Daphnia pulex: one gene and its partners. Each later gene encodes a partner of the first gene's protein in a complex. Links are inferred from orthologs where the notes say so. Each region holds a gene or a part of one and is shown in the gene's direction. Other genes may lie near its edges.

Region 1 (3,500 bases):
GGACGCTCAACTTAGACAAATGGTGCAGCGACAGGTAAGTTTGACATAACAGTTGTCCCTTCAATTCATTTATGTAATGTATCAATTGAATATTTAGGAGGAATTTAACCAAGCAATTTCAACTGAATTAAAACAAATTCGGGCCGAAGTCGTGGACATCAAAACTTTGATACAAAAATTGGAGTCACATCTTGAGATGCAAGCAAAACATGAAGTGAAAGAGAGTCGGAAAAAGTCGTCTGAAAAGGCATCTGAGACCTATGATGATAGATGCTACGAAGATGGCGACGTGGAAGATTGGGAAGAACAAGAAGACGAGGAGGAAGAAACCGACCTCGATAATTTAGTGAAATTGAAAGGAAAATTGAAGAGCTCTGGTCCCTCTGCCCCCCAGATCAATATGCCGTTGTATGCTCCTCCATTTGCTCCTGCAACGAGACCGGCATACGGATATCCACCGACCTATGGAGCTCCATTCCACCCTTCTGCATACCAGCAATATCCAGGCTTTCCGTACGTAGGAGTTCCAGGTGCACCAGGTCCTTTCCCCGTTACGCCAACTTATTCGTATCCACCGGGAATACCCCATTGGGGAATGGACCAAGTTACAACTCCGTCACCAGGATCGACTTATTTGCCCCCTGGGATGGTTGCTCCACCTATTCAACAGCAGATTGCTGCCCAACCCCCAGCTCCGTCTGTTTTTTCCCGAATTGGAACAAAAGATACATCACTGCTTGCAGCAACTTTACAGCAACCTACCGTAATCAGCACTGCACCAACACCCATAAACGACGTGGAATCGGCTTCTGAGGCCCTCCGCAGAGCGGCAGCTGGTTATTCAGCATCTTCCACTGCCCCTGCTCCTCACGCATATCAGATTAATGTTCCCACACAGGCTACACCGGAGAAAATAGTTGATAATACTTTATCTCCAGCCATCCAGCTTTCTACTCGAAGCCTGCTTGCCAATATCCCAGAGCCAGAGTTTTCATCTGTTACCACTCCGGATAAATCTAAATCAGCCCGTGATCGCAAAGCATCCACTTGTTCTGATGGAAGCTACGCTCCAGAAGAGGAGGTTGACAACTACCCAGATTTCAAACCTATTATTCCTTTACCGGAAGAAGTGGAAGTAAAGACTGGAGAAGAAGGTGAAGACGTACTTTTCGATCAAAGGGCCAAACTTTTCCGTTTTGCCGAGAACCAATGGAAAGAGCGTGGTGTTGGCCAACTAAAACTTCTTCAAGACCCGACTACGAAGAAAGTTCGATTGCTGATGCGCCGTGATCAAGTAGGATGGGTTGTTTCTATTTCTATGATCGCAGGATTAATTATTTGTTGTTCTCTGTTATCTAGGTCTTCAAGATTTGTGCCAATCACACAATTACGGCGGACATCAAATTATCCGAAATGAATAATTCAGCCAATTCGTGGATCTGGGCCGCCATGGATTTTGCAGATGGCGAAGCAAAACTGGAAAAATTTGCTGCCAAATTCAAAACTCAAGAAATATCCACTGAATTCAAAGAAGCCTTTGAAAAGGCCAAAACAGCCGATGTTGTTAAACCTAAGCCTGATACTGCAACTACAACAGACAAAAAGGCTAGCGAAGCACCAGTTAAAGGATTTGGGGACAAATTTGCTCCCAAAAGTGGATCATGGGCTTGCAGAATGTGCTATGTCAACAATTCGGCAGAAGCTACCAAATGTGTATCCTGCGAAACACTCAAACCAGGGACAGAAGCTCAAGCACCAGCCCCAACTCCTTTCTCTCAAATGAAATTTGGAATGCCTTCTGTAGCATCTGTTGCTTCGACAACACCTACGGCGTTCAAAACTACCACGGTAACGACTACCCCTGCTAGCACGGGATTTACATTCTCATCAACACCTTCAACTGGAGCTCCCGCGTTTAGTGGCATGAAGTTTGGAGTTCCAGCTGCCGCAACAACACCAGCCTCGACAGCGCCTTCTTTTAGTTTTTCAACTCCAACTCCCGTTACTACATCAGCTCCTGCTACAATTAGGTTTGGTGTGGCTGCCGCAACACCGACTTCAACAACTACACCTGTTTTTGGAGTAACGACGACGCCCAGCTCGGCTGCGGTAACATCAAGCTCTGCAGCGTTTTCGTTTGGAGGAAGCAAACCTGCTTTTTCATTCGCTCTGCCGTCTTCCTCAACGGAAACCGTGGTATCGAAAGCTCCATTTTCATTTTCACCTCCCAAATTGGCTACGGCCGTAGTCACGGCTCAAACTAATGGTCAAACCGACGTCACCACCAAAGTGACACCGTCAACCACAACTGGAGTAACACCGACGTCTTCCGTGCTACCTGGCTCAATTTTTGGGACTCCCAAATCAGCAGTTGAAACTAAACCAATTTTTGGAAGTTTTTCCTTTTCCACGCCGGTTCCTGCTGCTGTAACACCAGAAAAACCATTGGAGGAAAAGAAACAAGAAGTCAAGCCTAGTCCTTTCGCCGGCTTTTCTTTTAATAGCAATCCGACTCCTGCTTTAGCACCAAAGGCGCCTTCAGATGAGAAAAAATCCGAAGACAAGCCTAGCCCATTTGCTGGTTTCTCCTTTGGGGGGTTCGGAGGCGTTGCAAATAAAGACGCTGGAGAAAAGAAGGCTGAACCTGGTATGCTGTTTTCTCTGTTAGCCCAACAGCAGTCTTCGACCGGTTTTACCATTGCTCCAAACAAAGTATGTTTCTACATTTTCAATTGTAATTTTGTGCAATTTCATATAACAGACTTGTCATGTTTTAAATTCTAGGAGTTCCCTGGAACCGGAACACCACTTTTCGGATCAACTACTCCGAGCGATAAGACGAAAGATACGAGCAAGGAGGAGGATGGAGAGGAAAATGAAGGAGAACATTATGAACCCAATGTTGTCTTTGAGCCAGTAATCCCATTACCTGCCTTAATTGAAGTATCGACTGGCGAAGAAGAAGAAAAGTTGTTATTTATCGATCGAGCCATCCTCTATCGCTACGTTACTGAAACCAAAGAGTGGAAGGAAAAGGGAAGAGGTGAAATGAAGATTTTGGAACATAAAATCACTGGCCGAGCTCGTTTGTTGATGAGAAGAGATCAGGTTCTCAAAATCTGTTGCAACCATTACATTACTCCTCAGCTGTCACCGAAGCCTTTGCAGACATCAGACCGTACATGGACATGGTCTGCACAAGATTTTTCTGAGGGTGAACTAGTTCAGGAAACCTTTGCACTGAGGTTCAAAACCATGGATCAGGCCCAGAAGTTCAAGGGCGTTTTCGATGAAGCCCAGAAGAAATCTGCTGACATCAGTATTGAAAAAGTCGAAGCAGCGAAAGAAATGAAAGGCCAAGAACCTCAAACGTTCGGTGAGAAGTTTAAACCCAAAGAAGGATCCTGGGAATGCCAGGGCTGCCTCTTGCGCAACGACCCTAGTGTGATGAAGTGTCCATCTTGTGAGACTAGCAAACCTGGAGAGCCTAACAAAACCGA
Region 2 (4,189 bases), on another chromosome or scaffold:
GCTGCATCTGACTCGCTTCGTACAGAATATTCTCCTAATATTTCACCCATCTATTTGACGAAATTTTATTACAACCTACTCTACTTAGGCGTGGAATTAATAGATGAATACCTCTGAAATTGGTTCTTCTTCTGCATTAACCCATAATATGGTGGCTCCTCCTTTGACTTTTTTTTTCCTTGATTCAGGATCTTTTCTTGTAGATTCATGAAGTTTGGAAATTAAAATGAAGTGTGTAAAGTCAAAAGGCTTTCCAGATTTTTTTGCTTCATCAATCTCCTTACTATTAACAAAATTTTACATTTAAACTTGGGATATAATTCAAATTAAGTCTTGTATACCATAGATTTTCCAGTAGGGGAACAGAAACTTGAGGTGGTATGTTTATGAACCTTTCATTGAATATAAGTCCTATCTGGTTAGATGGATCATCAAACAATCCACTCAGTTTCTTCTGTGTTTTTTCCAACAGGTACTTTTTTACTTCTTTAATACATTCCACATCCTAGGAAAAGTAAATAACAAAAAAAATTGGGTTAATTGTAATTTGTGTAACACAAATTCAAAATTTTATCTCACCTTGTGATGTGTCAAGTTAATTACAGAAGTAATTCCAAAAACTTCATCAAGAGAATTTCCTTCATCATCACTATCAGGTTCATCATTATCCACACATTGCTGAAGAAGTAGATATCTTTAGTAAAGTACACAAATTACATCTTCACAAGATTTTATTACCTGTAATATACTTCCAATGTAGTTTTGCTGAATGATGAGTTCCGTCAGACCACTTAAATTAATATGAGCCTTTAGGAAAAGCTGATGCATTAGACTCTTGATACCGTGAAAATCTTCAGCGATTGGTGATTGACCTTCAAAGTCGACTTGAATCTCTCGGTCGTTCTCTCCAAGTTGCTCATCTTCACCCATTTCTTCATCTTGAGAATCATTTTCTTCTTCTTCTTCCTCTGAAGAATCGCTGCTATCTTCTTCCATAGGCCGTTTAGTATTGAAATTCGCCATGATTTTTAAAGACAATTTTTCACACGTGTCAAAAAGTCAAAAACAAACTTAAGTTTGTCTGCTAGGAAGGGGTAGGAAGGAAGTGAAGTGAACATTCAAATTGTTTGAAATAAAATCTTAAAAATTGAGTTAAAAAATAGAATAAAATTGTATTAAATATTATAACAATTATAAAAATCAAATCATTACTATTTCAATTTCAATTAATTATAATTATTTTAATGAATAAAACTTTGAACGTGAATTGCAACGCCCTTTTACTTAGTCTGCTACGTTACAATAAAACGAAAAACGGAAAACTTCAAACCTTCAAACTTCTTCTTTATAAGACAGTGAATTTTATTGTATCTTTTTAAAATAAGCACAATGGAGTTTCAATCTCCAATTATTGCCGGTTCTAACTCAACTGTTACTGGCAAACTAAATCTTCCTGGTCGAAGAATAAAGCACTCACTCGAAAAGACATCAGACATGTTGGGGGCCAGTTGCCTCCCTTCTCCTAACCGACATAATACAATGTCTTTTATGTCTGATGATCTTAGCCACACTATTTTCGAAAGTGATCCTACATTTACGAGAATTGGTGCTGGTTTACAAAGGAAAAATCTGGATTCGACAAGAGCAGACTTAACAGTGAGCAATGTATCACGAAAGAAACGAAATGAAGAACTCATGAGCATCCTTCTAGAAGAAGAAGTTCCAGGAGTAGAAAATGTCTTAGAACTATTTGAGAGATTCCTCAAAACATTTCAGTCATATGGGGCAGAACATCAAGTGTTTAATCAGTGTGCAGAATATGAGTCAGAATGTGGAGAACAAGTATCTGCTTTGCGAAAATTGATTCAAATGGCCCCTCGTGGACACAACAAACTATCACAAGCACAAGAATTGGAGCAAGAACTGAGACTTGAGCGTGACACATGGAGATTGGTTGCATCTCTCTACCAAGATCGTTTAAACTCTGAATTTCATGACAGTGAAATGGAGTCTGATGAAATCTGGAGTGGATTGGATGATGTTACAAGTGAAGATGACTTGGTAAAACAACTCTATGACAAAAATGCCATAATCAGACAGGCTCAGCTCGTAGTCGATTGGCTGGAACAACGAGCGGCTGATGTCTATCACGATTCCCATTACAGCCAGGTATTTTTTAATGTAATTAAAATTTTCTTTTATTAAATAATATATTATACTCTAATTAGGTGGAGTTTTACGGAGATGCGGTTGCCGGCTGGGAAAATACTCTTCATTCTTTGGTCAGTAAAAAACGAGGGCTTAGTACAGATAACGTCGAGCAAAATATGGTTACTCAAATGGATCCCGATGCTCCTAACCGAGAACAAAACAGACGTCTTCACCCACTTGACAAAGAAGATGAAATGCGTTTGCTTCGTTCTGTATTTGCTCGACTCCGTTGTGGACAGCTGGATGAAGCCCAGCAGCTCTGTTTCCGAGCAGGTCAACCATTTCGGGCTGCAATTTTGGAAGGATGGAAACTGTTTCATGATCCCAACATGAAATCTCGCACGGATGTAGCCAACACGAAAGGTAATTTCCAGATTTGTAGAAACCAATGGATTCGATAAAAATATTTATCTCAACTGTAGAGTCGCCATCTGGAAATCCTTATCGTGACATATGGAAGACGATGACTTGGAAAGAGTGCGAAAATGTGCAGTTGTCGGAGGAAGAGCGCGCAATCTTTGCTCTTCTTTGTGGACATTTGAAAGCCCTTTTACCTGCCTGTCGTTCCTGGGAAGATCAACTGTGGGCTCATCTGCGTGCCATGATCGACCACTGTGTCGAGAAGGAACTTCGTCGCTGTGTCAATTATAAACGGCAACTTCAAATTCTACCAGACGAATATTGGAATCAACAGTTGACCGTCGAGTCCATTTTCTCAACTTTAGCTGCCTCCAGAGATAAGACTTTGATCGCCCAAGGCCGTGACCAATATAGGTGACTAATTCTTTAATTTGTCTAATGCGAAATTTACCAAAGCAAATTTTGAAATGCAGGATCATACAGCGCTACCTTATTATGGATGATGTTGACGGATTACTTGAAGAAATGTCGTCTTGGCTGAAACAAGGTGACAGCTGGAGCGTTCACCTACGCCCTCACATGATCCGGCTAATGTCCCATCTTGCTCTGTTCTTCCGGCGCATCGGTCGTGGCTCATGTGACGATTCCATCGGATCCATCCTGGAAGCTTACGTTCTACAACTTGTCAATCTTGGACGAACTGATTTGGCGGCTGTCTATGTTGGACAATTGCCTTTGCCAGAAGATCAAATTCGCCTGTATGCTCAATGCCTCGTTATGGTAGAGGAACAGGAAGAATCCTGTGACGACGAGGAGCGAAGGCGCCTCCTATCTTTGGCCCAGGATGTCGGACTTGATGTCAACGCTATCGCCAAACAAGTTGTAATCAAACTTTGCGACCAGGGCGGAATGGTCCAACACGTCACTGATGCTTCTCTACAGGTGATTAATATAGATTTCGATCTGCATTCGTGCATAGCGTACTCATAATTGTTTAATACTTTTAGGTAGCGACCACGGCAGAAGATGAACGCCGGATACGTTCACTGAGCTGGTTGTTAATGGATCCGTCAATGCGAAGTCAATTGCTTATCCAAGCCAACACTCTCATGCGGGGATACCTTCTCCGTCGTCAGATTGAAGCTGTGAAGCTGACGTTCCAGTTGACTCCACCCGACACAGTCGCCATATTGACCGAACTATGGGAATCACGAACTGGATTGACGGATTTGCCCACTGAAGTCGAGGCTGCTGTCCGTGAATACCTTTGCATCCAGACTTACATTGATGCACTAGACGCCTTTCAAGAATGGTTCACACGTTTCCATCACTCCAAGCCCAAGAAAACAGAAGCTACCGTTCAACAACAGCGAGGAGGAGCCAGTTCTCAACTATCATTCACTGAAAACTTACTCAAAGAACAGCATCTTAAGCAACATCAAGTTGAAATTCAACGCTGGCAGGCAGCCGTCGATTCCCTCACGCAATCAGCTATTGACAAACTGTATAACGTCCTACTTTTTCCTGACGGAGGCTGGATGGTTGATAGCATGTCCTTCGAGGAGGAAAATTCTCCCCGACAACAGCAACAACAGTTGTTGCGACAAACTTGCATCCC
Region 3 (3,216 bases), on another chromosome or scaffold:
AGTCACTGGCATACGTCTTACAGCAGAATAATCCGTTACTTATTCTGTTAATGTTGTCTAATTATCTATCCCTCATTCTTGCTACCGCACTGGCTACAACGATTGATGTTTGTTGTTGGTCGTCCTTTCTGTAGTCTGAAATCCCAATCTTAGATGTCTGTTACATTGGCTACAGGAATATAAACGTTTGTCACAAAATTTACATTTCAATTTTTTATTATCAGCTCATTTTAAATCAACATTTTGATCTTTAATTTATTGATAAAATATCATTATCATAAAGAAATTTACTTTCCACATACCTGCTCACTTTGGTGACAGTAATCTCCTTTCATGCAACGCCATATATTTGCATTCAAACGTGCGAATATGTGAAGGGAACACGAAGCTTTCAAGACGCGATTCCCCAGTACTCATTGGTTACGCCTAATAATAAAATTATAGTTAGTAATCTGAAATAAAACATTTACAATTATGCTCTATAATATGATTGACATTTCTCTGTAACAGCCAATACTGACGAGGAGTTATATTCAAAAGATTTTTTTAGATATGGACATTATTCTATTACTTGACAGTTAACTTTCTCAGAAGCATCTTCCTGAGCCCTTCAGGAGTCATTTGTTATTCAGTGCAATGGTAAAAATAAAGACAGACTCACAACAATATTACATAGCACACTACGTTTCCAAGCAAGAAATTAGTTTAAAAACTGGCACATGTAATAATCTTTGAACTATACAAAATAGTGATTCAAGCACTATTGTTTTGTGAAATCACCAATACATCATATCTAATGAGTATTTAACAGGATATTTTCCGCTTTGAGATACCCAAGTATGTTTCATTCCCTTCCACTTTGGCACTAACACATTCAACCCTTCTATGCGAGAAGTACCTAGCTGAAACAACCATAATAGGGAATAACAGATCTTCATTTAATAAATTTAGAGTTTGTGACCTAATATGACAAATTAACTGATGTTTTCATACCTTTCTGAACATTCTATATCAATTTTGTAGTTTCCCCATCCACAAAGTTAAACTGAACTGAGGCTTTAGGATTAGAGATTATATCATTCTTAATTCATTCGAGACATGGTTGTTTGCACCTTTTTTCGTTTTGTCTTCGTGTGATACCTTTGTGGTTTGTCACTAGTTGATTCACGTGTTCGAATATTCTGGAAGCATTACGTAAACGACGCTTGGCTTGTCTCGAATGTTGAACGATCAAAGCTACATGAGATGGAAGATATCAATGATTTTTTTTAACACTTGATTTTTCAATTTGGAATTTAAACAAAATACAAGAACTTAAGATGCATGCCTGTGTGACTCACTGCTCTGTTGTTTTTTGAACCATCTGGGCGCCATCTTTCATAGGCAGTGGCAGCATAGCCAGTTCATTTTTAATTTTAGTTGATGAAAACTAAAACTAAAAATGCTTATGCATGCTACAGCCAAAATGGTTTGATTTCATTGAAATCCATATTTTACATGCAAATGTTTCATCATTTATTCGTTTAAATCCCCAAATTAAATTTTAAATTGATTTGTAATTATTCGAATTACCTTAAGGCAACCCTGGCAATAATTGTACGAAACTACACAGCTAAATTATTTGGCAGCCGTTGAAAAAAGGTAACTATTATTTATTTAAGAGCTGTTGCATCTTGCTTTCTTCAGTCATATTCACACTTTCTTATTACATCACACTGAAATTTTTATTCTCTAGTGACCAATAATGTCCGGTATTGCTATTGCTCGACTTTCTGAGGAACGTAAAGGCTGGAGGAAAGACCATCCCTTTGTAAGTTGCTGGTTTGCCAAACGATAGTTGTTGGGTTGTGTGTGTTTGATTTGTGTATCTTTGCGTTGCCTTTAGGGTTTTGTTGCCAGGCCCACAAAGAATCCTGATGGAACCCTCAATTTGATGAACTGGGAATGTGCTATTCCAGGCAAGAAATCGGTAATGAGTTTTACACTTAAAGATCTTACTTCACATTGGTGTCAGATATACTTACCAAATTCACTGTTGTTTGAAGTAACAATATTAAGTGTAACTTGTGCATACATTTACAGACTCCCTGGGAAAATGGATTGTACAAAATCCGTATGATTTTTAAAGATGACTACCCCTCTTCTCCTCCAAAATGCAAATTTGAGCCCCCACTTTTCCATCCAAACGTCTATCCATCAGGTTGAATCAAATGGCTATTTGAGTGTTTTGTTTTAGCTAACCTTTTGGCATTTAATATCCAGGCACAGTTTGTCTATCATTGTTGGATGAAGAAAAGGACTGGAGACCTGCAATTACCATCAAACAGATTTTGCTTGGAATTCAAGATCTCCTAAATGACCCCAATATTAAGGATCCGGCTCAGGCAGAAGCTTATACTATCTACTGGTAATGATTTTTACACCAGTAGACAACTTGAAAGTTTGGATTGTAATATTTCATTTGATTATTTCTCCAGTCAAAATCGAATGGAGTACGAAAAACGTGTTAGAGCACAAGCCAAGGCTATGGCTGCCACCACTGATTTGCTGTCTTAATTTCCCAAGTAAATCCAGCTGTCAAGGAATAAGTTAACTTCTTTTTCTTTTCCACGTGCTCTATTTGTTTTTTAAAAATTCTTATTGTCTTCATTTCAATACTTACTTATCGTCCAGAAAACATACTCCGATCTGAAATAAAACGCTAAGTAAGGTGTAACACTTGTTGACCTTTTTTTTTTTCAATTACGTCACTTGACTATTTTATTTGGTTGTGACCTACTTTGTTGATATGCGTTTTATCTGGCGAATATCTGATTATGAAGACCAAACTTCTTTTAACTACTAGAATTCATCAAAGGCTCTCTTACCTGATTAAAATTTGAACTAAATGGGTTATCGATGTACAAAGTGCAAAACAAGGTATGTAAAACAACAACCGATTTATCACAATATTTTCAGCAGCGACAATATTACAGATACACTAAAATCAAAGAAAACATTCCGACTTGAAATCGATTAAAAATCTTAACCGAGAAGAATCGGAGATCGGGTATGGCATTTTCAAATGGCGAAATATACGAATCACGAAACAAGTAAAGCAAATTTGTCATCATGTAAAAAGACTGTGGAGGATGCAAGAATAAGGAGGCGCAATTTCACACAACGCTTTCTCTGTCATCACGGTGGAGGTCGGAAAAGTCCTCTCCCGTCTGCGGA
Region 4 (4,134 bases), on another chromosome or scaffold:
AGCATCAAAGATTGGATGTGTTTTTTGACCTTATAAAGATATACATATGGTGAAAGCGTCTAGGAGGCAACGACTGGCGATAAACAAAACCACCGTTCTTCGAATTTGAGGAAATAAAAACTTGGGAGGTTTTGAAATAAAAAAAATTAAAATGCTCAATCCTACGATTTCCTCCCCTCCCTTATATCTTTTTCTCTCTTCGCAGTGCGATTGACGATTGGATTTCATTTCTTTATTTTGAGCCCCAATATGCGAATCCTGTAAATAAATGTAACAAGGAAAACATACCCAAATAGGTGGACACCACCGTTCCTAAACGTCCGTCTCCTCACTTCAACCTACCCAACTCTTATGATTATTGTGTTTCTTTTTTTTTTTTTTGAATTTTTTGCCACAATCAAACCGTCAACAGTTCTTTTTTGTGTGTGCGTGAATGCGTGTCATTGAAAGGAAAAAAACCTCTATTCTCGCCCTGATCTTCCTTCATATTTTCCTCATTTACCTTGTTTGAACACTGAAAATTTTTTAAAAAGTAAAAATTATCTTATAAGAAAAATTCTGCTAGAATCGACTTTGTATGTGTGAGTGAGTGTGAGTGTTCGTCTATGGCAACTTGTGGCACAGCGCATCGTGTCTTCGTAAGTGTGCGTCTGTATTATCAAGTCAGTTGGATGACATTAGTGTAATTTGTACAGGTGAAAACAACAAAAAAAAAACAAATTCTCAGTGCTATTATTCTATTTTGTATCGAGATGACGCGTTGGACTCGGTCTCCCAAATTGGGCGTCATTAAATTCTGAAAAAAAAGCGATGTCATCTTTATAATGTTTTCTCGAGCGAAACTGAACTTTTCCCGTATTTCCTTCTGCTCCAACTCCACCACCACTCCTCCACAACAAAAAAAAGCAGCTGAGAGCATTGCTTTTTTGTATAATGATAAAAGGGAACAACTTTTTTGTGCTTGTCGATTAATTATTATTTTTCATTTTCGTGTGTGGTCGGTCTTTTTTTTCAATCTTTTTTCTTGTGCGTGTTATACGTGACTGTTGTGGACAAGATAATGTGTACAGGATAATTTGCAGTTCATTTGTAAATATTACTTGTTACTCTTTTGATTACAAACCGTCTGATCATTCTTAAAATAAGCTGATTCGTTTTTACTTTATTTTTCAAATATCCACACCCTATTTTGAGAAAACAATAAATCCATGGACGAATATTGAATAGATAGATAAATGGGTTTTTGGCGGTAATCGTGTTTCAATTTCAACGCAATTGTTTCAATTTTCTTACTGGCGGGAATTTACTTTGAATAGATGGCGCTGTGATGGTAGGTGGCGTTGGCATCATCTACCGACTACCGGTACGAAAAATTATCACACGACAATTCCCCACAGACGAATTCGAAGTCCAAGTTTCGAATACGTTCAGCTTTTGCCCTTGTGGTTATTAGGTTTTTTTAGTGAAATAAGCTTTACTTTTGGTTGAACTGTCACAAGTTTTAAAATCAAAAGATGTGGACCAAGTCTAAGGACCTCCACAGTCTGGTTGAAGACACAATTAATAACCAGCAATGCAACAGCCTAGACAATCTGGAGAAAGCATTGAAAAATCACCGTTCAGATTTCTCTGCCCTTCTTAAACAGCCGGTAATTTCATGAATCAGATTAAATCTGTGTTCTAAGCTCAAGTCAAATTCATTTTCAGGCAAAAAATCTCGATGACAGAAACCTTCTCCTAAAATCTGTCAAAGAACCTGTTCTTTTCCCTGGAAGAAAGACGACTGCTTCACTTGAACAATCGTTTGTGGATGAAGCACTCATTATCTCTGATATGTTTAATCTAAACGAAAATGTTGCTGTTGAACTTTTACACACAGCAGAACAGCAAATGCATTACTATCCAGAATTAACCAGGGGTTTGATTTCAGTACTGCTGTACTATGATGCTAGACGTGCCATTGTCAATTCATTAAAAATTCTCATCCAAGCAAGGAAAGGAATTTCATGGGCTGTAGACACCAGCGAACAAGTTGTTGACTTAATAACAGAGTACACCGTTAAATTGGTGAAAAAAGGTTTGGTAGATCAAATCATAGCCCTGTTAAGTCAACTGAACCTTGAAAAGGAAATCAATTTGCTCCACGAAAACCGAGCTCTCGGTGGACCAAAACACAGAAGGTTTGTTTACAATTAAGATTAATATTTCTTTCTTTTAATTTTTTGTGTTTTTTATTTTAGACAAGTTCATGATTTCTTCACTGAAATAAGGCAGTCGTTAGCGGACATTGTATTTTGTTTGGCTGCTCAAAATGGACTGTGTAGGGACGATACACTGCTGCTAGTGAATTACCTTTCATCTGTCGAACAAGTCGATAACGTCAACGTCACTCTTTTCATGGCTCTTTTGTATGCTATTGATATCAGCGGTATCGTTAGAACTGAAGAAAGTGAAGACGTCGTCCGGTTGTTACCCATCACTTCGGAAAGTGCATTTGTTGCGACTATTCAAAAGCGTCTGACAGAACCACTTCCTTGGAAGAACATTGGCCTTCAAGCTTCAGTTCAACTTGCCTGGGCAGTGACTTTGGCTACTTTCCGTTCGCTTTCATCTGGACTTTGCGCTCCAATTCAAATGCAGGTTGACGAAGACGAAGCCATCCTAGACGTCGCGTTAGAGGGAAAAGCTTTGAATTTTCTCAGTCATCTACTACAAACCAAAAATCATATCTACAAAGAGGAGTTTTACTTACGGCGATTACATTCACTTGTGACGGATCTAATTGTTCAAATGCCCCTGAAAATCAAAGATCTTCGTAATAAGGCCGATGAAGTTGCACGTAACATCTTTGTCTATCAGCAAGAGGGCCTTGAGCCACCTTCAAACCTGCCGCTGGATTTTCAATGGTTGCTTAACTTTATCGCCGTTCTGTACGGAGAGGATCCTCTAGAGCTGGAACTGTGTCTTGAATTTTGGTCTAGTGACATGGCCAATGCTGGAGTAAACTACAGGTATATGGTTATTGTTTATTTTGAAATAAAAATAAAAACTTATCGCCTTTTTAATGCAGAGTCTCTCAGCGACAAATGGCCCTATATAAGTTTATTCGTTTGGCCGGGGATTTGCTACCGCCTTCTCTCTACATTTCTTATGCCAGCATGCTTTGCGGATTGGCAAATGGAAAGAGGGCAGCTCACCAAGCCTTTACCCTTCTGAAACAAAACAGCAACGGCGGTCAAAGCAATTTGATCTCTTGGGAACACTTTTTCTCATCACTCCACAGATATTTTAACAGTTTGCGCCAAGAGTCGCTCCCTGTACCGGACACCATCTACCGCCACAAGCCCCTCACAAAAGGCATTACACCACAGGAGGTTCAGGGATTGCAGGTCGTTTTGAAGTTAATGCGAATCGTTCTCCAACATGACCCTGTTGCCAGGATATCTTTGGCCGAGAATCCAACATGGATACCATTAGTCGTGATGATCGGACTCTTAGGTAAGTAAAAGCAAATAGCTATCGAATGAACCCGAAAAATACATCTTCTAAATTGTAGGCTGTGCTGTGCCATTGAGTTTGAAGGGAGAGATCATGGAGGTTCTTGCAGCTTTCGCCCAGTCACCTGACATCGCATATACACTGTGGAACAGCATTGAAATAGCTCAGATTTTGTCAACTACAAGCATAGTTTCAACAAATGTCAAAGGTTTGTGCATGAAGATAATTCTATATTAATTTCCTGCCCAGTAAAAAACAAAAAAAGGGTTGAATATTAGGTCTCCACACGGAATTGGAAGATGTTGAGTCTCGAGCTGAAGAATACCCCCTCACAAGAGCCTTTCTTAAATTACTGGACGTGATGACTGATATATCCATCCCAACCAACTTGGGAACTGGACATAGAACGCCTGGATTTGATCCCTACTTATTCTACGTTAAAGATTCCGTTTTCCTGAAATTTAGTGGTAGGGCGTACCGCAATGAAACGGAAAAATGGCAGGTTTGTTCGTTTAGGTTTAAAAAGTTGTAAAACAAAGTCTTAACATTGACTTCGTTTTGTAGATTGGAAATGCCTGTGTAAAGCTATTTTTAAAATTGCTCTCGAATTACGAACCCAGTGTGGATGATTTTCAG
Region 5 (4,158 bases), on another chromosome or scaffold:
GGTGCATAGACGTTATAGGAACTGGTTCGGTTGGCACCAAATCTGCGACGGAATGTTCAGCTTCTTCGTTAAAAATAAAATAAATTAATAAACGGAAAAAAATATCCACATTTTTCATTTTACCTTGGTTTTCGTTAAGGACATCTCTCTCGGGATGTACTTTAAATCCGTTTGCGTGATGGATTTGCAAAAACAAAGTGTAAGGGTCAAAGGGGAAATTAGATCTTAGATCAGAGGGGTAACCCAAATGCTCGTTTGAAAGTGTGTAGAGTTTAATTTTAACAGAATTTAAGCTTCCTATAACTTCTTCTAGTTGCAAGATTTCATACGGTAAAGTTTGGATCTTTTTTGTGTCTTTGGCTGTAGCTTTTCTCTTTAATTTTGAGCCAAACTTTCTAAACTTCAGTGGAATTGGTTCTGTGATAAGATCTACATCTCCTTTGTGATGTTTTTTTCGGTGATTTCTTCTTATCTTGGAGCCAGGTGTTTGATTTTCATCATTTTCATTACCATTCCTATAGAGAGTAGAGAGAAATGTGTTTTATTAGAAAGTAAAACATTGTACAGTACATGATTTTAGTTACCCATTCGAACTTAAAAACTCAATCACTTCTTGGAGAAGAAGCCAGAGCTGCTCAACTTTCTTGCTATAGATTTGTGCACTATTCTGTACAACCATAGCAGCCTTAGCAAAATCTAGCTTCATTTGCTCCCCGTTTACATTAACTTCAATCCGCAAATCTTGAATATACTGGACATATTCCTCCAATTTATCAGCTATATTCAGCTCCCAACATCCTTGTTTAGTAAGCTCTCGAATTGGCTTAAGAAGAGCAGCAAATTGAGAACTGAAAACATCATCTTCTTCAACAGAACTCCCACTCGAATTCGCAAGACCAGGGCCCATTGTTTAACACGACTGCGAAACTTATTACAACAAAAAATATCTCGAATCTTTAACTATTTCAGAAAAAGAAGAACATTTTTCATATTGAAAAATAAACTGTCAGCCACTTTGCCTGAACAAACAAGAAAACACAACAATTCAAAAATTGAATTTTGGAGTAAACGTAAGTGTTGCGTTTAGTTCTGAAGTACAAGGCCCACTATGCAACTAAATCAAGGGTCAAACTTTGGTGGCCATGTACGTAGCGCCACCTATAATGACTCTCAGTGTTTAGATTTTTGCGAAAACTAACCAAAACTCTTTAATTTTGCAACAATCAAATTCTAATTAAAATATTTTACACCTCTTAAATTTCGTGTCATCATAGTGTAAACATATTGAATTGCTAAATGCAAGTTAATGAATACTAACCGCTGGAAGACGCAGTCAAACGGCCTTCTTTCTATTCTCATTCTTGTGCGCCGCAACTGCTTTTTGCCTTTCGTAATTCGTATGAGCACCGTCTTGCCTTTTCAACGTTTCATTGAATTGTCAGCAAGTTCATACGACTCCCGCGTGCTGAGATTACTGTTGTGTTCTAAAAACTTGTGTGACGACCGCTAGCCATTGTAAGTTCAAATTGTGAGTTCTCCGAGATTAAGACTTCTGTGGTGTTGCATTTCGTACTCCATAAATATTGGGAGACATTTTTGACATTTTCTTTTTTACTTAGCTGCGGAGTGTGCCGGCTTCTTCAATGATACATCTTTAAAAATGTTTGGACAAAATAGACCCACTTTTGGAGCCCCAACATCAAATACTTTTGGTAATGCATCCAGACAATTATTATTCTTTACCATTGCATAAGCATATTTCATGTTTACAAATGTATCTTATCTTGTCATTACGTCACCATTTAAATTTCAACATTTTTTGTTTGCCCTCCATTGTTTGTTGCATTTAGGCGGTTTCGGTACAAATACATCAACAGGATTTGGGCAGTCTTCGTTTGGGGCAAAGCCAACTGGAACGGCTGCACCAACTTTCCAATCTACAGGTTTTGGATCAAATACCTCGATGTTTGGAAGCACAGGTACTACAACAAGCCAACCCTCGGGAGGTTTGTTTGGTACACCTACTGCCACTTTTGGAGCAGCACAACCTACAGCAGGATTTGGAGCACCTGCAACTAATACTGGCTTTGGAGGTATTTTATGTTTTATAGTTACATTTCATCAAACAGTAGATATCTTTGATGAACTTCATTAATTTGCAATCAAAGAGCACTTAATCATGTTGTTGGTTTTGTAACAAAAGGATTTGGTGGTGGGACTTCAGGGGGGAGCTTATTTGGAGCCCCTGCTGCTTCAACTGGTATGTTTGGATCTAATACCCAACAAACTGCCCCTTCAACTGGTACAACTGGCATGTTTGGAGCAGCCACCAATACAGGATTTGGAGCTCAAGCTAAACCTACATTTGGCTTTGGAGCAACTAGTACCTCCAGTAGCTTGTTTGGACAACCCCAATCCCAGCCCACTCAAACCACCTCACTTTTTGGACAGCCCACAGCACAAGCAACGCCGTCAACGGGTACTGGTTTGTTTGGGACATCATCTTTTGGTAACACAATTGGGGGATTTGGTGGTACTGGTGGAGCCATTACTGGTACCCCAGTAAAATTCAGTCCTCTAACAGGGACAGACTCTATGGTATAATATTTATTCATACACATATTTTTCTCTATGAATTATAATTTTCATTTTGTGGTCTTTAGATGAAAAACAATGTCCAAACGACAATAAACACACACCATCAGTGTATAACATGCATGAAAGAATATGACAATAAATCTTTGGAAGAACTTAGATTTGAAGACTACTCTGTAGGACGGAAAGGACCGACCCCGGGAACCGCACCACAAACTGGAGGATTATTTGGTGGGACCACTACGACTACCCAATCAACTCCGTTATTTGGACAAACTCAACAGACGCCCCTTTTCGGAACACCAGCACCCAGTAAGTATTTTTCTTGTGTATGATGAACAAAAGAGATAATTCGTATGTATTTAGCTATGGGACAGCCGAGCTTATTTGGACAGCCTCAACAGCAACAAGCTCAACCTTCGGCCTTTGGAGCAAAACCCATGGGGTTTGGTCAACCTGCTACTTCCACTCAATCATCATTTGGTTTCGGGACGCCTGCACCTCAACAGCAACAACAGCAGCAACCCAGTCTCTTCGGTCAGCAACAACAAAATAAACCTTTTGGCTCATCGATTTTCGGTCCCCAATCTACGAGCCAACCCACTCCTGCTTTCGGGACACAAACACCCGCTCCCGCATTTGGATTTGGTGCCCCACAACAGGTAATGATAATATTTTTATTTATTCCTTTTTATTTGAGATTGTTTCCTACTTATCGTTTTCTTTTTATTTCTGATTATTGCAGACCAGTCAAAGCTTTTTCAACACTCCAAAGCCAGCAATGGGAGTTCAGACTTCAACAGCAGGTTTTGGTTTTCCTCAAACGACAACCACTCAGTCCGCTGGATCCAACATCTTCGGTGCGAAACCAATAACTGGTTTTGGAGCGACACCTACCCCTGCATTTGGAACTACTCCCGCTCAAACAACGACGCCAGCGTTCGGTGGATTTGGTACATCAGGTTAGATCAGGAAATTGTTTTTGTTGTTTGTTTGTGTTTGCACCAAAAAAAATTTCGACTGTATTTTTTATAGGTACTACTGGAACTGGGTTGTTCACACCTGGACAAACGGCTTTTGGAGTCAAACCAGCCGGGCAAACATTTGGTGCGGTGACATCAACTCCGTCGACTCTAGGATTCGGTCAAAATACAATGTTCGGCGGGGCATCGGCTGCAAATGCAAAGCCCAGTCCATTTGGCGGTACTCCCTTTGGAAGTTCTGGCTTTGGCACTACACCTAGCTTTGGAACAGCTACTGGTGGGATGGGTACTGGCGCTCCCGGTTCACTCTTTGGGAACACAAGTATTGGAGCACCCTCAACTTCAATGTCTTTCGGAACGACGCAGCCTACTACTGGAACTAGCAGTTCCCAGTTGCCTATTCATCAGTATATCTTGACGCTAAGTGAGATTTCTCAGTCTAGTGATCATCCTCTCTTCCGGAAAATGCTGGAACCGTCAGGTAAGCCACTTCGAATGAACACAGTTGAACGCATTTCATTCATTAATTGTTTCATTGCGTTTTCAGGAAAAACAGAAGAATTGATCAAATCAAGCGCCC
Region 6 (2,639 bases), on another chromosome or scaffold:
ATTGGCTTCCTCGTCTGACTGTTGTTCAACTACCGAAGGATCAGTGCAATGCTTAAAAAATATTTCTGTAAAGAAGAGGCATCATCTTGTATAATAAAATTTATCTTGTTGTAATAAAACCCCCAAACCGTCTCAAAGGTAAGGTTTTATTTCATACTAAAGCGCAATAATCTAGAACAAAATAATTTGTACAACAACGCATTAATAGCTATATGGAATTAATTAATAAAAATGGCAATAAATTCGACTCCTAAAATGAAAATGACGCTGTTGGAAATTTTTCGTTGGGTTAGCAACAAGTTTGACTACTAAAAAAAATTGCTCGAATTCCAGTGGAAGGTTTACAGAATCAAACCAAAATTTAACATTCATTCAAAAATATCTAATAAAATAGTCTTCTATAATTTCGGTTTGCTGTACTCCATAAGACACAACTTGTCAGTAAGCAAGAAATTTTCTTAAAATTCCCCTGGAATAGGATGCTATTGGTCGATTAATACTGGTGTGTCGCTCATTCAAAAGAACGAAGTCAGCAAACAGAAAAAAATCCGACGATGCGAAACTGTAACTGTAACAACACAAATTATTTACTACCTACAGATGTCGCAACAATGTTCCTTTTTTTATTACGACAGCATTATCAATTCGTACAGGGAAAACCAGCAGTCGTCCCGCCATTTAATAATTCAAGTCATCAACTCACCAAATTCGATTCTAGTTTGCTAACTGATTATTGGAGTAACTCGTTTCTATGCTGCGGTTGGCATTTACAATCTCAGCAAAAATTTTTATGGAGTGAGTGCTATGGACGTAGTGACGGCTGTAAACCTATTAATTCATGAAACATTAATATGATGTATGATTATCAAATTAAATTAAGGGACATCAACTGCACGCACACGTTGCTAATAATCATCCATAACGATTGCTAACTGTGTAATAATTGCTTAAGCAGCCAAAATGTAGTCGAAGAAGATCTCAATTTATATTTTTATTGAATCAAGCCATTGGATATCATCAGTCTTAATTTTAAATATTATCAATCCCAAATTACATATTGTGCAATTGTTTCAAGCAAAATATTCTTCAAAGCAGCAAAAAATTTAAAAAAAATCCTACAAATTTTATTAATATATTCCAATTTATTTAAAAAAAGTTTTTTAATTTAAAAAAATGTACTCATTTCATACGTGGCCGGCCGTTGTTAAAATAAGTTTTTAGTGCAGTGCCGGCATCCAGACGTATATAGCTGGTGCGGCAACGTTTATTCTCGGCGCTTTTTTGGCCCACGCCATTATTCATTATTCTTCAATAGAGTCGTCTCAAACGTGCTGCTAGTTTTAGAAAAAGAACTTGTTTTAACCATGGCTGATGTAAGCACGTAACTATCTATGTTACTTTTTAAGTATTGCTAAATTTACCCCATTCGTTTCTTTTTCCATAAAATTTGTTTTCACGTGTTGTCTTTGCTGGATAGTCGATTTTTTTTTAGTTCTGATCATGTGTTCGATATTTTAACTGTTTGCCTTTGCATTACCCTATACCAATTTGGCTAACTGTGGTTTCTATTTTTAATATACAGGATCAGAAACCTGATGCCGGTGATGCAGGATCAGAGTACATCAAATTGAAAGTTGTTGGCCAGGATTCAAATGAAATTCACTTTCGAGTAAAGATGACGACACAGATGGGCAAACTCAAGAAGTCTTATAGTGAAAGAGTGGTAAGGGTTTTTCCTGTCATTTTTTTTTTCACTTATTGATAAAGATTTTCTTTGTGTTCAGGGTGTGCCAGTTACTTCGCTGAGGTTTTTGTTTGATGGAAGGCGAATTAATGATGATGAAACCCCTAAACAGGTATGTTGTGTCTAATGCACTTAGCTGATGTGTTAAATGATATGCAAGTAATGAATTTCTGTACTGCTGTTCTAGTTGGAAATGGAGAATGATGATGTCATTGAGGTTTATCAGGAACAAACTGGTGGCAATTAATTTAAGAACCTCGATGCATTCATGGAAAACTTTCCACATTTTCTGGACAAAACTGTCTTTTAATTTCCAATGTTGTCATCAAAATATCGCCCTGCTTTCTGTTCTTCATTTCCAATCGAATAAATAAAACCATTTTCGTAACCGAGAATGATCCTTTCGTTAACTTATGGGCACTCTGCCACTTGTTTCTATCAACTTGTATTGCTATGAATATTGACATCAAAGTTCAAGGATGAAAGGTCTTGACTTCCATTTCTTGCTTTTGATCGCAAAGTGCGTACAAACCTTTTCGAGAGAGGATGCATTGCACAACGCTGTTGCTTGGTAAAAATAAATTGTCAATCAAGAATTTATAATATACTTTATTTTGTGTTGTTCAGTTGTACTAGTAGTAGGTGCAACAAGTTGTAAAATTCCCAAAAGTTATAAACCACTTTGTGGGGTTAACGGGATTTCCTACACGAATCTGAAGGCTTTACAGTGCCATAATAAGGCTAGCCCTGGAAACAGTAGGCTATTTGAAATATTCTTTTTTAGGAAATGGTTCCATCCGTGTTGAATTTGTTTGGTTTTCTCAGTGATTCGAATAGCTTATAAAGGACGCTGTCTTCGACCTGATATTCGTGAATGTAACTATTCTTCAGTCGT
Region 7 (3,459 bases), on another chromosome or scaffold:
GGGGAAACTCAATCACACCATCCTGTGATCCCACAAGTATCACCTGATAAACAAGCAATGTTAAGGAGTGTATTAGCGCATAGACCGGTAGCTCGGATTCGAGCCGTTCGCCCAGAATCAGTTGCAGAATCACGCTTGCTGTCAAATCTCACCGGTTTCATTCACGGTGAAGATAAGAAAGATACTTCTTCAGTTAGTCCTAAGATTTCACAAGCTCCTTCCAAGACCATATTGCCCACTGTCAAAAGTGTAAGCTATTCGACGCCACAGGAGATTAAATCAGACCTGCCTATGCCTAAAATGGGGTTACCCGATCATGGATTCAATGCTAAGGTCTCTATGGCATCGTCTCGAGTGGATTTTGCCAAACCTACTCCACGTCCGCCCTCCGAGGTCGAAGATGTTACTCCGCCGTCTTCACCAGTTAACTTGGACCAAAAGGCCAAATCTCTCGGCAATCAGCTGATGATGAGCAGTTTGAGTTTACCCTCGCGCGCTCCCGTAACTACCGTGGAAGATACAAAGCCGGTGTCTAAAATGGCCGATTTGAAACCAGTCGTTTCTTTGCCTACTTCGCTTCCACCACCTTACGAGCCCAAACCTTCTTTCTCTTCAGTGCCCACGTCAACACCTATGCTTTCGTTTGGTGCTCCCAAGAAAGACCTAAACTCACTCGGATTAGGATCGACCAGTTTGTTCGGGAAATCTTCCTTTGGTTCCGCATTTGGCGCTGCTGCATCCCCTTCTACGACTATTGCGGCTGCATCATCTAAACCAACAGCCGAAGTTACATCACCATTCTCAACTTCAGGAACGCCGGTTACCAGTGCCGCAATACCGGCTACGTCAGTTCAGCCGCAGACAACTAAGGTTGTTTCTACTTCTTCGTTTGGCTTCTCTGCTCCACCAGCTTTATCAGCCTCCGCTTCAACTCCGTCACTGGTGGCATCGAAACCGGCAGAGCCAGCCCCGACTTTAAAAACAAGTTTTTCTTTCAAAGAGCTTTCATCTCTCTCTGGATCTGCAGCTCCGGCTTCCATTACCACAACAACCGTGACGCCGGCTGCAGTAACACCTTCAAGTTTTACGTTTTCTTCTACCTCCCTAACACCTTCAGCAGCAGCAGTAACCTCTGCTATCGCCGCTACTCCCTTGCCGATTGTAGCGCCGGCTTCGACCACTTCCAACACTGATGATTCAACTACCACCGTTAAACCGTCTGTCGCACCGACAAATTTCTCTTTCAGTTTGGCTGAAACTCCTAACAGTTCCAGTACCAGTGTACCAGGAGCTACTGCTCCTTTTACTTTTAATCTCTCTGGAACCGGTTCAGCTACTACTAGTTCCACACCCACAGGATTTGCAGCACCTTCTTCCACTCCTGTTGCTGGGTCATTGTTCTCTTTGACTCCATCAAATAAAGCACCCGTCGCCTTTGGTGTAGTTAATACTTCAAGTGTGTCCAGTCCCTCAATCTTTGGTCAAGCAGCAGCACCCGTTGTCCCAACAACGACACCAGCGGCCACATCTGTCTTTGGCCAAGCACCACCTCTAGTTCCCGCGACAAGTACCTCCGATTCAGGCGTGGCAACTTTATTTGGCCAAAGCAAACCAATCCAGAATGTATCATTGACTACTGCTGCCCCTGTCACTCAATCCGCTCTTGGACTGGCAGTTGCTCCCACTAGCACACCTTCCGCCTTGTCGCCAGCACCAGCCACCACCACAATTTTTGGTCGTCCATCAGCAGCCCCTGGAAGTTTGTTCGGTCAGTCTGTAACGACTGCCGGACCTTTCCCATCTTCCTTCGGACAGATTGGGTTTGCCCAGCCTACTTCAACAACTTCGACTACATCAAGCACCTCAGTCTTTGGACAGTCAAGCTTTGCCAAACCAGCTCAGGCTAGTGGAGTACAGCCGACTTCATCCTTTGGTTCACCCTCCGTGTTTGGGCAATCAAGTGGTGGAACACCCAGTGGATTGTTAGCAGGGAGCGTTTTTGGACAAGGTGCGGCTCCAGCAACAACCGCGATCAAACCGCTGTTTGGGGTATCTACATTTGGACAAACATCTGTGAATGCTCCTACTTCTTCAGCTCCAAATGCCAACCAAGGATTTGGTGCCGGTTTGTTTGGTAGCATGGGACTCGGTGGTACCCCAACCTCTGCCAACGCTAACCGCAATGTTTTCGGCGGATCGTCTGTATTTGGTGGTGGCACTCCATCTGGTAATTTAACATTTATGTGTGTTTATTTTTTCATCTTCTTACGATTAAGCTAATTTAAGGTCAAGGAACGTTCGGAGCGACTTCTGCGCCATCTTCTTTTGGTGTTCAACCTACTACTGCTGCTCCAGCTTCTTCGTTTGGCAGTACTTCACCGCCAAGTTTTGGAGGCTTTGGACAAGCCCAACCCGCATTCGGAGGAGCTGCGACCTTCGGTGGTTCCCCGCTATTCGGAAGCAAACCGACGTTTGGTGGTGGAGCAACATTTGGTTCTCCCGTAAACAGCAATGTTGCGCCAAAACCAGAAGCGGGTAACAATAATATTTCTATTCATCCATTTTCTTTTATTCATAATGTTTCTTGAAAGGATTTGGTGCCTTTGCTGCTTCCAGTAACGTCCCTACATTTGGAGTACTTGCAAACTCTGGACCATCTTTTGAAACTTTGGCAAGTAGCGGTAATGCCCAACCAGCCTTTGGAGGTGCAGCTTTTCCAGCAAGCAATCCACCATCATTTGGAGGGTAAGTCGGAACAATAATTTGTGCATAGTCTTCAAATTCTATTGAAGTGCTTAAACTTGAATCTACAACTTTTTTTTTTTAGGGGAAGTTCTTTTTCGTCGTGGCGTTAAATTCGTTGAAAGCTTCCTCTATTCTGGCCAAATTTACACTTATAGTTTTCTTTTAGATTGCCATTGAAATTTTGGAAATGGAAAATACACGCGTCCTTTGTAAACACGCTGTTTTGGGCATTGAATAGTTTATAATGAAATATTTCTAAAAGTACTTTCTTCATTTTTATCTTAAATGTCCTTTAAACAAAAGTCATTCGCTTACGCAAATACTCTCATTTCGTCGTTGCACTTCTGCAAGGCCCACTATTTTATTGCAGGATTTCATAACTGTTTTCCATTTATTATTGATTTTTGTAAATTACCTTTCGGTCACTCGCTTTGTTGATGCCTTCGTATCAGGAACGATTAAGGATAAAAACAAACTTATCGGTATTTAAAATATTTCCAGTGTATTTTTTAACTTGCGCTTTTCTAAACCATTGTTAAGAAAACTCATCTTCAAATCAAGATTTTAATAAGTACTTATGAATTTTGTTCCATAAAAATCATGTTCATAGGAAGAGCATCTCTTATAAGAATGATTCGGTTCTGGTGAATTTTCTCTAAATCTTCTACATATCCAAACCAATAGATAACTAGGCCCGGTCCAAATCTACGCATT

What was found.
Region 2: E3 SUMO-protein ligase RanBP2-like (region 1) and nuclear pore complex protein Nup107-like share a complex: the UniProt entries of both Homo sapiens proteins name them as parts of the nuclear pore complex. The link is inferred for Daphnia pulex from reciprocal best matches to the Homo sapiens genes RANBP2 and NUP107.
Region 3: the proteins of E3 SUMO-protein ligase RanBP2-like (region 1) and SUMO-conjugating enzyme UBC9-B are in contact, whole or in part, in a crystal structure (PDB 3UIO), measured with the Homo sapiens proteins. The link is inferred for Daphnia pulex from reciprocal best matches to the Homo sapiens genes RANBP2 and UBE2I. Residues at the interface, in NP_006258.3 of Homo sapiens: Leu2651, Lys2652, Leu2653, Pro2654, Phe2657, Phe2658, Tyr2660, Tyr2666, Val2667, Glu2669, Glu2671, Glu2672, Asp2673, Asp2674, Glu2675, Asp2676, Phe2677, Ala2680, Val2681, Leu2684, Gly2686, Lys2687, Leu2688, Tyr2689, Leu2690; in NP_003336.1 of Homo sapiens: Ile4, Ser7, Arg8, Gln11, Glu12, Arg13, Lys14, Ala15, Arg17, Lys18, Phe22, Gly23, Val25, Val27, Lys30, Met36, Glu42, Cys43, Ala44, Pro46, Gly47, Lys48, Lys49, Trp53, Glu54, Gly55, Gly56, Leu57, Lys59, Pro69.
Region 4: E3 SUMO-protein ligase RanBP2-like (region 1) and nuclear pore complex protein Nup205-like share a complex: the UniProt entries of both Homo sapiens proteins name them as parts of the nuclear pore complex. The link is inferred for Daphnia pulex from reciprocal best matches to the Homo sapiens genes RANBP2 and NUP205.
Region 5: E3 SUMO-protein ligase RanBP2-like (region 1) and nuclear pore complex protein Nup98-Nup96-like share a complex: the UniProt entries of both Homo sapiens proteins name them as parts of the nuclear pore complex. The link is inferred for Daphnia pulex from reciprocal best matches to the Homo sapiens genes RANBP2 and NUP98.
Region 6: the proteins of E3 SUMO-protein ligase RanBP2-like (region 1) and small ubiquitin-related modifier-like are in contact, whole or in part, in a crystal structure (PDB 1Z5S), measured with the Homo sapiens proteins. The link is inferred for Daphnia pulex from reciprocal best matches to the Homo sapiens genes RANBP2 and SUMO1. Residues at the interface, in NP_006258.3 of Homo sapiens: Asp2631, Val2632, Leu2633, Ile2634, Val2635, Tyr2636, Glu2637, Leu2638, Pro2654, Thr2656, Cys2659; in NP_001005781.1 of Homo sapiens: Asp30, Ser31, Ser32, Glu33, Ile34, His35, Phe36, Lys37, Val38, Lys39, Thr41, Thr42, His43, Lys46, Leu47, Ser50, Arg54.
Region 7: E3 SUMO-protein ligase RanBP2-like (region 1) and nuclear pore complex protein Nup214-like share a complex: the UniProt entries of both Homo sapiens proteins name them as parts of the nuclear pore complex. The link is inferred for Daphnia pulex from reciprocal best matches to the Homo sapiens genes RANBP2 and NUP214.

What each region holds. Positions count from the first base shown.
Region 1 is NC_060024.1:12,890,422-12,893,921, forward strand, and holds part of E3 SUMO-protein ligase RanBP2-like, read left to right. Parts: coding exon 1-34; intron 35-97; coding exon 98-1,294; intron 1,295-1,359; coding exon 1,360-2,712; intron 2,713-2,784; coding exon 2,785-3,500. UniProt on the Homo sapiens protein: E3 SUMO-protein ligase which facilitates SUMO1 and SUMO2 conjugation by UBE2I. Involved in transport factor (Ran-GTP, karyopherin)-mediated protein import via the F-G repeat-containing domain which acts as a docking site for substrates.
Region 2 is NC_060019.1:10,133,856-10,138,044, reverse strand, and holds the start of nuclear pore complex protein Nup107-like, read left to right. Parts: upstream 1-1,389; coding exon 1,390-2,169; intron 2,170-2,228; coding exon 2,229-2,574; intron 2,575-2,633; coding exon 2,634-2,985; intron 2,986-3,044; coding exon 3,045-3,513; intron 3,514-3,578; coding exon 3,579-4,189. Other genes in the region: protein BCCIP homolog, read right to left, coding at 1-50, 112-283, 342-505, 580-678, 739-1,023. UniProt on the Homo sapiens protein: Plays a role in the nuclear pore complex (NPC) assembly and/or maintenance. Required for the assembly of peripheral proteins into the NPC. May anchor NUP62 to the NPC. Involved in nephrogenesis.
Region 3 is NC_060018.1:632,407-635,622, forward strand, and holds SUMO-conjugating enzyme UBC9-B, read left to right. Parts: upstream 1-1,488; 5' UTR 1,489-1,641; exon of another isoform or gene 1,642-1,735; 5' UTR 1,736-1,744; coding exon 1,745-1,810; intron 1,811-1,885; coding exon 1,886-1,969; intron 1,970-2,082; coding exon 2,083-2,200; intron 2,201-2,262; coding exon 2,263-2,407; intron 2,408-2,477; coding exon 2,478-2,556; 3' UTR 2,557-2,716; downstream 2,717-3,216. Other genes in the region: receptor-type guanylate cyclase Gyc76C-like, read right to left, coding at 3,156-3,216. UniProt on the Homo sapiens protein: Accepts the ubiquitin-like proteins SUMO1, SUMO2, SUMO3, SUMO4 and SUMO1P1/SUMO5 from the UBLE1A-UBLE1B E1 complex and catalyzes their covalent attachment to other proteins with the help of an E3 ligase such as RANBP2, CBX4 and ZNF451.
Region 4 is NC_060022.1:5,063,116-5,067,249, reverse strand, and holds the start of nuclear pore complex protein Nup205-like, read left to right. Parts: upstream 1-1,334; 5' UTR 1,335-1,514; coding exon 1,515-1,649; intron 1,650-1,707; coding exon 1,708-2,180; intron 2,181-2,240; coding exon 2,241-3,011; intron 3,012-3,070; coding exon 3,071-3,498; intron 3,499-3,556; coding exon 3,557-3,706; intron 3,707-3,776; coding exon 3,777-4,000; intron 4,001-4,062; coding exon 4,063-4,134. UniProt on the Homo sapiens protein: Plays a role in the nuclear pore complex (NPC) assembly and/or maintenance. May anchor NUP62 and other nucleoporins, but not NUP153 and TPR, to the NPC.
Region 5 is NC_060021.1:8,259,612-8,263,769, forward strand, and holds the start of nuclear pore complex protein Nup98-Nup96-like, read left to right. Parts: upstream 1-1,358; 5' UTR 1,359-1,515; exon of another isoform or gene 1,516-1,528; intron 1,529-1,619; 5' UTR 1,620-1,660; coding exon 1,661-1,712; intron 1,713-1,850; coding exon 1,851-2,093; intron 2,094-2,203; coding exon 2,204-2,598; intron 2,599-2,663; coding exon 2,664-2,907; intron 2,908-2,961; coding exon 2,962-3,257; intron 3,258-3,340; coding exon 3,341-3,557; intron 3,558-3,630; coding exon 3,631-4,059; intron 4,060-4,125; coding exon 4,126-4,158. Other genes in the region: condensin-2 complex subunit H2-like, read right to left, coding at 1-63, 124-515, 585-907. UniProt on the Homo sapiens protein: Plays a role in the nuclear pore complex (NPC) assembly and/or maintenance. NUP98 and NUP96 are involved in the bidirectional transport across the NPC. May anchor NUP153 and TPR to the NPC.
Region 6 is NC_060017.1:276,948-279,586, reverse strand, and holds small ubiquitin-related modifier-like, read left to right. Parts: upstream 1-1,211; 5' UTR 1,212-1,364; coding exon 1,365-1,373; intron 1,374-1,582; coding exon 1,583-1,723; intron 1,724-1,784; coding exon 1,785-1,856; intron 1,857-1,931; coding exon 1,932-1,991; 3' UTR 1,992-2,139; downstream 2,140-2,639. Other genes in the region: serine protease inhibitor dipetalogastin-like, read left to right, coding at 2,291-2,315, 2,372-2,500, 2,570-2,639. UniProt on the Homo sapiens protein: Ubiquitin-like protein that can be covalently attached to proteins as a monomer or a lysine-linked polymer.
Region 7 is NC_060027.1:5,445,039-5,448,497, reverse strand, and holds the end of nuclear pore complex protein Nup214-like, read left to right. Parts: coding exon 1-2,227; intron 2,228-2,286; coding exon 2,287-2,535; intron 2,536-2,591; coding exon 2,592-2,745; intron 2,746-2,827; coding exon 2,828-2,855; 3' UTR 2,856-2,959; downstream 2,960-3,459. Other genes in the region: CDAN1-interacting nuclease 1-like, read right to left, coding at 3,321-3,450. UniProt on the Homo sapiens protein: Part of the nuclear pore complex. Has a critical role in nucleocytoplasmic transport.